2 linked regions of the Schizosaccharomyces pombe genome follow. Each later gene encodes a partner of the first gene's protein in a complex. Each region holds a gene or a part of one and is shown in the gene's direction. Other genes may lie near its edges. The genes, in order: sad1 and bqt4.

The links.
Region 2: the proteins of sad1 (region 1) and bqt4 are in contact, whole or in part, in a crystal structure (PDB 6A6W), measured with the Schizosaccharomyces pombe proteins. Residues at the interface, in NP_595947.2 of Schizosaccharomyces pombe: Asp89 (codon at 2,818), Asn90 (codon at 2,821), Glu92 (codon at 2,827), Phe93 (codon at 2,830), Glu94 (codon at 2,833), Val96 (codon at 2,839), Val97 (codon at 2,842), Lys98 (codon at 2,845), Asn99 (codon at 2,848), Gly100 (codon at 2,851); in NP_596166.1 of Schizosaccharomyces pombe: Arg33 (codon at 1,862), Gln35 (codon at 1,868), Ile37 (codon at 1,874), Glu38 (codon at 1,877), Phe39 (codon at 1,880), Phe46 (codon at 1,901), Arg48 (codon at 1,907), Lys50 (codon at 1,913), Phe61 (codon at 2,008), Met63 (codon at 2,014), Ser75 (codon at 2,050), Arg78 (codon at 2,105), Arg107 (codon at 2,192), Val108 (codon at 2,195), Ala109 (codon at 2,198).

Annotation. Positions count from the first base shown.
Region 1 is NC_003423.3:2,301,629-2,307,337, forward strand, and holds sad1 (protein Sad1), read left to right. Parts: upstream 1-2,137; 5' UTR 2,138-2,553; coding exon 2,554-4,098; 3' UTR 4,099-4,129; coding exon of another isoform or gene 4,130-4,612; 3' UTR 4,613-5,033; downstream 5,034-5,709. Other genes in the region: DNA polymerase delta subunit Cdm1, read right to left, coding at 4,130-4,612.
Region 2 is NC_003423.3:2,839,168-2,843,564, forward strand, and holds bqt4 (integral nuclear inner membrane protein Bqt4), read left to right. Parts: upstream 1-1,666; 5' UTR 1,667-1,689; coding exon 1,690-1,730; intron 1,731-1,767; coding exon 1,768-1,799; intron 1,800-1,838; coding exon 1,839-1,938; exon of another isoform or gene 1,939-2,000; coding exon 2,001-2,054; exon of another isoform or gene 2,055-2,100; coding exon 2,101-3,147; exon of another isoform or gene 3,148-3,160; intron 3,161-3,219; coding exon 3,220-3,244; 3' UTR 3,245-3,667; downstream 3,668-4,397. Other genes in the region: endonuclease Uve1, read right to left, coding at 1-418; SPOM_SPBC19C7.11 (ClC chloride channel), read left to right, coding at 3,974-4,109, 4,167-4,397. UniProt on the Schizosaccharomyces pombe protein: Connects telomeres to the nuclear envelop (NE) during both vegetative growth and meiosis. This connection ensures clustering of telomeres to the spindle pole body (SPB) when cells enter meiotic prophase.

The DNA of each region.
Region 1 (5,709 bases):
AGTGTATTATTAAAGATTGTATGCAATTAAGTGTAGAACAATTGAATCTCATCCGTGTTTCGTGTCTTCCTCTACATGAGCAACGTGCCTAGGGCGAATTTAGCTACACACTAGCAATGGCTCTAACATATTAACATCTCTTACTACACTATGGTTCACTGGTTTTAACCTTACAACAAGCTCTAACCCAACTGTAACTTATAACCTTACAATGGCTCTAACCTGACAGTAGCTTGTAACCTAATAGCGGCTCGTGAACCTACCATAACTAGTGTGCTTTGTTACAAATCGGTGAATAAAGTAATTTTACTATTACCGTTTAGGAACATACTCATACAACTGCTCTTCGGCGTTAATATTGCGGTCCGACACGTTGGTTAATAAAACTATCTCCTCCGGGATTTCCTTGCTGTAGCCATTACGATATGCGACGTTGATTCACAAGATGTTGCATTATAGCATCCTGACTTGAACCACCTGCAAAAATTTTTTTCATTCTTAGGCGTTTGTTTATTTACTCACCACCCACAGGTGATAATTTGCTATTCACGTTGCACTGCTTTACTTACCGAACGGATCAATTCCACATAGCGAGAGATATCGTAAACGGCAAACAATGTCTGAATTTTCATATGAGTTATTCCACATTGTCAGCTCTATCTACTTTGATGGATCACAAGTTTTCCCGGATTTTAGGGTTGCTCAATAAGCTAACATCGGTTTCGGCCCATGAATGATGTCCAGCGCATGGTTTCTCGTTTGTGTCGCAACACCTAGTCCTGAAGTAGCTGAGTGAGTGTATAAGGTACAGAAATGAAATGAAGTCGTGAGATGAATACACAATCATGAGACATACTTGGCGCCACGTTGAGTAATTGAAATGATTGAACCTTTTTTGACGGTTGGTTGAGCAGATTGATTATTGAGGTTTTATTTATTAGGATTCATTATGTAGCGCACAGGATCAAATACTAGGTTGTGCAATACTACTCGACATTGCCTCAATTCATTACTTTCGCTAGCCAAAAAAACAATACGGGCTAATTGGAAGTTAAACGTGCCATAAATTTCGTCCTTGTTGAAATACTGACGTTTTCAAAGTTACGCATAGCTTGTCTTTGATTCCTTATATACAACATTGTGCAGTTTCTGTTGAATGTAGTGAAACCAAGCGATGAATAAGCTCAAAACATGAAAATTTTTCGTTTCATTTTTTTTTGACAGGACCGTATCAGTGTCGCAGTAAAATGGGATCCTAAGTATGCAAAAACAAGCAGTTAGTTAGACAATTTATGGTTGCGTATTGCTGCTACCTTCGCAATCGGCACAATATTCAAGCAATTTGAAAGCGACTGAATGCCCGAATTTCATTGGCTATATGATGAAAAGCGAAAATCCTACTTTGACGAACTATAAAGTATAATATTCAGCGGCAATGTTGTATTAAACAGTAGAAAGGTTTATTAAAGGTTTATTAAATGTTTATTTACTCAATTGATCATTGTTGAAATTTGCTTTTGAAAATCATTGGCGTAGATTCTCGTGTCGATGAAATGTATCCCTAACAAACGCAAAAACGTTTTTTCAATGCCTAGAAATTGAAGTCGTTGAACTACTACTACAGCAAAATGCCAAATCTGTTTACTTAACTGATTAAAAGTGAAACGATACTGAATACTTTTGATTTTTCAAATAAATTTGGTAGCATATGATCGGTTTCTTGTTCTTTTTCTTTAAAAATTGGAAATCTAAATGCAAACGAAGTAATATTAATAGTGGTAAAAATATTAATAGGTATGGAACTTGCTATTTTATAAGGCTGCTTTATTACTTGAATCCATCAAACTTCTCACTTCACTGAACAGTTTTGCCATGCTCTCACGAAAACTCCTAAATTACCAAACCTGTTTTTTATATAAACACGCGAATTGCTGGATTTGGATCCTATCAGCTTCAAGTACTTAATTCATCAGCGTTCAAACCCTCTTGTATTAACAGTCTACCATTTTTATTCATCAAATATTTCTCGCTTTATTTCCATATATTATGTTATGAATATTTATCGATTGTCAGCGATATATAACGTAGTAAATTCTTAGTGTATACACTTACCGTAAACACAACAAAACTCTTTCTCAGCAGTCAATCTTCGTACCGTCCATTTCTAGTGTGTTTATCTTGGTATTGTATCCTTTATTGTTTGTGAAGGAATTTTCCAGTATTGGAATTGGAATGATACCTCAAGAAAGGTATACTCTGCTAGGGTAGGATCAATTACATACATTGTGTGTATAGGTATCTGTTTTCACATAAAAAAGGCGTCAACGATAATTCGTCTGTTATTAATAATTTATACATTCGCATAAAGCGATCAAAAAGGCATTCAATTACAGAATCCTACTTAAGCTTCACTTTTTTGAATACGAACACTAATTCAAATTCTCGCCTTCCAATACTCTCTTTTCAATTTTTGTCTCTCTTTTTACATATTTATTTATCACTGATTCGTTTGTATATTTTTCTTTTAATTTTCAAATAGCCTTTTATACATCAATGTTTACTAATACACCGGTTGGAGGGAAAAGAGAGCGTCAAAATGGCGCTCATCCAGCTTGGTCGACGTTAGGAGCGAACTCTGCTCAGATTCATCAAAATACGGCTGATTTGGCCTCCAAAATGCATAAACTTCGCTATACAAAGATAAGGTCCCCTCCTACCAGGGTGTCCATTGAATCAATTACTCCTAAACAAAGATTTCCAGCTCCCAATTTCGAACAGGCTTACCACTCTAATATTCGATACGAGCAAGAGGAATCTGATAACGAAGAATTTGAAAACGTAGTGAAAAATGGACACGAAGCTTCGACGAATGTATTCTATGAATCAGATGGAGATGATGAAGAGTTTGTCAATGAAGAATACGAAAACAGCATCGACGAGGAAAGTGATGATGAAGGGTATAGCTTGAACGAGGATACCACCGCAACAAATGCCAGTTTTAGGTACCCGATGAATCAAAGATCTACAAGGAAATCTCAATTTTATTCCTCAAAATTTAAACCATTACTTTGGTTCGGTATCACTCTCTTTTCGACTCTCCTAATAATTACTCTACTTCACAAGGGTCAAGAATTTTACTCAAGATCATTTTCATCAGATAATTCCCAACCATCTAATTCGCCCGTACCAAACATTCCTCCTGCATCCAATGACACCAAAACAAGTTTAAAGCCAGATATTATTAAAGACTTCACAGATTCACCTTCTAAAGTTGGCGGCAATGAGGAATTCGATTATTCGACGGGAGATTTAATTACAAAAAAGGAATTTGACAAGATTTTACAACAAAAAGTAGAGCAATTAAAACAGTCGCTAAAGGAGGAGATGTCTAATTACAAATCATCGGTCCCATTTGAAGTTGAACTAAATGACGATTGGAAGTTCTTCATCGAATCTACGGTTCGAAAATACTTGACCGATCCGGTTTCCATGCCGAATTTTGCATTGCTCTCAACAGGAGCGGAAGTACTACCTGCCTTAACCTCAAAACGCTATGTGAGACGACCATCTGCATTCATACCACGATTTACCTCCTATTTCTTTGATTCGCTCGTTGTTAGAGGACACGAACCTAGCATAGCATTAACTCCCAACAACGCAGTTGCGATGTGTTGGAGCTTTCAAGGTTCAGAGGGACAATTAGGAATTTCCCTATCACGCCCTGTATATGTAACCAATGTCACAATAGAGCACGTTCAGCACAAGATTGCTCATGATCTTTCTAGCGCTCCCAAGGACTTTGAGTTGTGGGTTCAGGGAATGTCCAGCAAGATGTTTGTATTGTTGGGAAAGGCGAGATATTCTTTAACGGAAGACTCTATTCAAACTTTTTCGTTTGAATCCTCCAATTATATTGTCGCTGAACCGATACAGAATGTGATCTTAAAAATAAAAAGCAACTGGGGAAATCCCAATTACACATGCTTGTATCAAGTTCGAGTTCATGGGACTGTACCCAATGCAGACGAACAACCAATACCTTCTTTAGGTGAGAAAGCCGAAAGTACTGCAGAGAATACGGGTCAAGATTCATCTTAAAGACCTACAAAATGTAAGATATAAAAATAATCTAGCCTGGAATGGTTTGAAGATCATAAAAGAGCGATTCTCTTTTTCGATTTTCCTCATCTGCTTCCTCGAGCATCAATATCTTTCCCACTGTTTCTGGAGGATTTAAATTGAAGTTTTTTGCACGTTTCCAGCGTTGCATCCTTGTCATACCAAGATATGGTCCATATCTTGCCGTAGTGTCAAAGTGATGCAAAATGAACTCTACTTTGGTTATATTTTCACAATGTATTGGTTCACTAATCCTTTCAGCCATAATTTGATTCCAAGCCTCTTCTACCTCTTTTGAAAGCTCATCGTCTTCTTTAATTCTCTCATCCAAGGTTTTGGTTGTAATTGTAACATCGGGTGTAGGCGACTGTTCAGAACTCACTTTCTTCCCTATGTGGGATTGACTTGAATTACTTCGAACTACATGTGGAAACACGTCGCGAATATTAGTGTTTTGCCCTGATTTTTTCGCTTGAGTAGTGCGCTTCTTCATACTGCGTGATATAATTCTGTAACACTGCGGTACTAGAATGAAAGGTGCACTATAAATCCAATTCTTTTTCGTGTTTACTCAATTTAGAGCATTAGTTTGTTTGGCCAAAAGAAATCTCTGAAAAAGTACATTTGGTTGCAAGTGTACTTTTAATATGTATATATAACTTTAGATGACTACTATAGCGATGTTTAAAATGCGTCACGCTGACGAGAAAATAAGTATCCAGCCATCCGCTCGTTCTTTATCGTTATACATATATCAGCCTTCATATATATTATTATTCATTTAGGTCCAAGTATTTAAGTGCATTATTGATAATTATTAAAATAGAAACTTCTTGACGACCCCTATTTCGGTATTTCTAGTTCGTTGTTGGAGCAAACAAGAAGTAAACAATACTCGTTATTAGTTCAGATAGTATTGTGGAAATTTCATAATTAGATACAAGTATTTTAGCAATACGTGTTGTCTTAATCCAGCCTTGGTCATGCAATTGAATCACTTGCCAGCCTTCCTAACATATCTTTAATACGTTTCTAAAAAGGGTTTTGGTCTTTACCGATTTAAAATAGGCAATTTCGTAAATGCAAATAGATATACTTATTAACATTTTCAAAATTTAAAAAATTTATAGTTAAATAGCTTTGAGTATTGCAAAATTTGTCTTTTGTGCTTTGCTAAAACAGCGTAACTTTTTACACTGCAATTGAAGCACAAAGACAGTTGAAACTTCAATTCCCTTACAGCTTTTAGTAATTTAAGTATCTAGTTTCATTAAGTTGTCTTTTTTTAAGGGCTTTTAAACTGTTAGTTATACAGTGGTAAACAAACTGACCGGGCTTTCTCAATGATTAAACTGCACTATCATTAAATACAGTGTAGTCAACCAAATTGTTATATTTTTTAATGCAGTCGATAAATTTACATAATGCTTTCAAACGTGAAAGACATCCTTCGTAAATCAAAATTATTGAATTTGTTAATTGTCCCTATGCTGCAAATAGTGCACAGGTAGTTTGTGTTGCAGAATTTTAGTTTCCACCAAGAGGGTAACATTACGCTATATGAGGTAACACTTAGAGGGTTTGAATGCT
Region 2 (4,397 bases), 540 kb from region 1:
GCCTAAGATGAGTTGAAGAATCATAGGACGCAACAGACTCATCAATTTTATCGGAAACAGAATCTGTCGCTTTCTTTTTACTGCTACGTGCCCTCTTTCGTGTAGACGTAGAAGTACTTTTTTTGTGAGGTCCACTGATATTAGCTAACTCAGTCTCATTTTCTTTTTTTAAGTCGACTGGTGTTTCGGCAGAGAATGAATTCGCACCGATATTAACTTGCGGTAACATTGAGAGTGTGGTTTTTGAGCTCATTGGAAGTAAACTTTTAAGGGTATCGGGTAAACAATGAAAACGAGAGTAAGTAATGGTACAAACCGACGGTACACAAGGATGATTACCTTTAAATGCCTTTTGTTTTAATATGGTGAAAACAATGCGTTTAGAGATTTGAATATTTCGTTTCAATAGCCTAAGCATTAAAAAATGAAAACGATTTTAGTATCAATATGACATTATTTAGAAGGAAATAAGCCCTTCGCAAACTTGCTTATATCCCTACAACTATTATCTTGTAAGTGAAAAGAGATATCGACAAGAAGTGATTGAGACTCAATACTAGTCAAAATCAACGAGTGTGAAGACAAATCTTCTTTCATTCCCAGTAAACCAAAAATGGTTTTGTATCATTGTTACGTCAAAATTCGCTATGATTTTATTGGAAGGCCATGAGATTACTGATGCTCAAGGGATTCAACTTTTGACAGTTATTGTTCAGTGTAGATAGGACTGCTTTTACGAGGAAATTTTGGTTTCTCAAATCGAGCTTAGTTTAGCAATACAATGTTAAGTAAAAAGATTGTGTTGCTTTCTCTTTAATAATTGCAGATTCAGTTGAACAATCAAAAAAACAGCAGATAGGAAAAAACATTTGAAATGAAAATTTGGCCAAGTCAAGGAGTCGCGACAATTTATTTTACCATCTGTAGCATATGTGTGTATGGGAAGCAGAAGTAGGCGGATTCGGGTCATTTATATTGTATTATGAACCGTCTTAATGCTGCTTTCTGCTGACATGGACATCTTTAAAAATATACAAACAATTACCGTGTAATTCACAATAGATTTAATACCATCAGCATTAATGAGTTGGTTGAGAAGCCATCATTGCGAAATCGCAATGTAGGTAGAGTAAACGAAGCGAATTGTTTACGATAAAATACAGTATATCTTTAGAACCGTAGATAGCTGCATCAGCGAAACGATTGGTTTTTTCTGCAAATACTATTACAACCAGTAGCATGAAGAACGCTTCTTACTGCCGCATCGTTTTTGCCGACCTGGCTGATCGATTGACAAAACAAACTTCTAGCAGAAATAAATGATCAGCGCTTCTTATATTTAACATTTGGCAGCGTGCTGCCCGCGTGTGAATATTTTCCTTAAGTTTGTATCCCAACAGAAAAGCGTAAAAAATTGGAACCACATTGAATCTTCAAATAAACAATATTAACATTACATTTCAGCATAAGCATCGACTATACATGACCTCGAGGTGTTTAAAGAATTAGTAATTCTTGCTTTGCACATAGTTTATAACGAAGTACGTCCTAGCATCACTCGATATTATCATTTAAGGTAGCACCACTATTGCTCTATACAATCAGCTATTACATAAACGTTGTAAGAGAGGAATTATACAAACGTCGACGACGGCGATTAATTGTTACCTTTCCCCTTAATTGAATACCATGACTGAGAATGAGAAAAGCAGGTCTTTACCTGCTGAAAGGTTCGTATATTTAAAGAAAACGACTAATTGATATTAGAAACCCTCTCTATAAAGACGATACACTTGACCGTACGCGCTTCCCGAAATTACGTGAAACTAATATAGCAGATACACCATTAATCCCAAAGTGTCGCGCTCAGGTAATAGAATTTCCTGATGGACCAGCTACTTTTGTTCGTCTCAAGTGTACAAATCCGGAATCTAAAGTGTAATTATCTTTTTTTTGCAGTGTTGTTTTTGGAAAAATACTAATGATGTATATAAATATAGACCTCACTTTCTTATGAGGATGGCAAAGGATTCAAGCATTAGTGCTACGTCAATGTAAGCGTTTTTTCATATCTTTTTCTAAAAATCTAAACCCGATTAGGTTTCGTTCAGCTTTCCCTAAGGCTACCCAAGAAGAAGAAGACTTGGAAATGAGATGGATTCGTGATAATTTAAACCCAATTGAAGACAAACGTGTTGCTGGACTATGGGTGCCTCCTGCAGATGCCTTGGCTCTTGCCAAAGACTACAGCATGACCCCGTTTATTAACGCCTTGTTAGAGGCATCCTCCACTCCTTCAACTTATGCGACTCCTTCACGCCCCACTGCGCAGAAATCAGAGACATCTGAGGGGGAACCTGAATCTTCGACATCTGCCACTACCACTTCTGTTGCTAGGCGCACACGTCAGCGTCTTGCTGAACATCTGGAGAATTCCAAAAAGACAATCCTCCAACATGATAATAAAGAAGAAGACAAGGAAATACATTCCGAAGAGAATGAAACGAAGGATGAAATTAAGTCTGAGAAGAAAGAGCCAGAAATCAAGAAGCAGGAAGGCGGTAGTTCTACTGAAAAAGTAGGTCAACCCTCTTCTTCGGATGATAAAGCAAAAGGATCAACCTCTAAAGATCAACCCTCTGAGGAGGAGGAAAAAACATCTGATATCCAAGATAGAAAGATTAAGACACCTATCAAGCCTTCTCTTCTTGGAAAGATTAGGTCAAGTGTCAATAAGGGCATGACTGACGTTGCCAGTCAAGTTAACAGAGGCATGACCGATGTTGCCAGTCAAGTTAACAAGGGCGTGAATGGTGTTGCAAGCCAGGTCAACAAAGGCATGAATGGTGTCGCTAATCAAGTTAACAAAGGTGTAACTGGTGTTGCAAGCCAAGTAAGAAAACCTGTCGGAAAGTTGGAAAAGAAGTTCGAGAATTTGGAAAAGAGCATTGGGGATACTTTGAAATCTTCCATTCGATCCTCTCCAAAGTCAAAGAAGAGAAGTAGAGAGGATTTTGAGGAAAACGAGGATTACAATGCTATGGTACCTGTGAAAAGGTCGCGTATCACCAAACTGGAAAGCGAAGTTTACTATGAAAAGCGGAAAGTCAGAGCACTTGGTGGTATTGCTATTGGTTTGGGTGTAGGGTAAGTATTCAATGATTGTGATAATTGGTCTTTTCCCTGGATTTAAAATCATTTACTAACTATCTTTCGCAGCGCAATTTTACCTTTTCTATTTTAATTTAATAGGGCCCTTTACCATTTTGAAACTACTGGATGTTAGAATTTAATGTGACATATGTGCTTTAATTTGTTGATGTAGTTTTTCGTGTTTAATGTGAAAATCAATTGACTTGATGACTTTTTACTTACTTTCGATTATGATTTGGGATTGGAGACCTGCTTCAGATTGATTTAGGGCTGAAATAACTTAATTTCCGATTGATTCTAGTGCACTATTTGGTTATCTTAATGTTTTATCACTTATATGAAGTTGTTTTAGTCCTGGGAAGTGTATTGTTTCCAATTTATTGCGGAATGTGATTTTTCCAAGTTATATTGATTACTGTACTTTGCTTTAGTTTTGTTTCATTAAATTTTCCTATTTTAAACTTATCTAGCAAAATAGCAAAAAGTAACATTTGTACGACTAACGAATAACTAACTACTATAGAAAACTAAAGAGAGTCGAAAATAGAATCTTCTTTTACTATGAAGATATTACAAATGTGCATTGTTTATATTCCAACTTCAATATTTCTTACTTCATAAGTAATAAAATTCGCTCGGTTTACACCCTTAACATACTATATTCAAGGTTGAGGACAAAGTTTTGGAAAAGTGCAATTAATGCTTGCGATTTGCCTACCATACAATAATAAATGCTAGTGATCAATTTTTGATATACAAAGGAGAAAAACAAGAGCATTTTCTTCAATTCTGATATTCTCCACATTAGATTATATCATCAATGTCCTCTCAAAAGAGAGCAGATTCCTCAAGTTCTTTTGATCAGGCGGAACGTCGATCTTTGGATGAAAATGAAAGGAAAAAAAAATATTTTTTTAATAGAGAAGGTTCCGGTATTGATAATTTTGAAACGGACGGTATGGTTTTTCAAGCTTCGAAAGCATTTGACTACTATTTACTGACAACTTTTAAAGACAGAGTTAATGAAATAATTAACGAGCAAAATGAAGAAAACGTAATTGATCAAAGCCGTTGGTCCAAGTTGTGGAGAATATGGAATGTTGGTTATTCATGGTTTATTCTCAGTATCATAGGAACAACAGTTGGGTTTGCGGCTTATATGCTTGACATAGTTACCTCTTGGCTATCGGACATACGAAGGGGATATTGTACTAGTCATTGGTATTACAATGAGAAATTCTGCT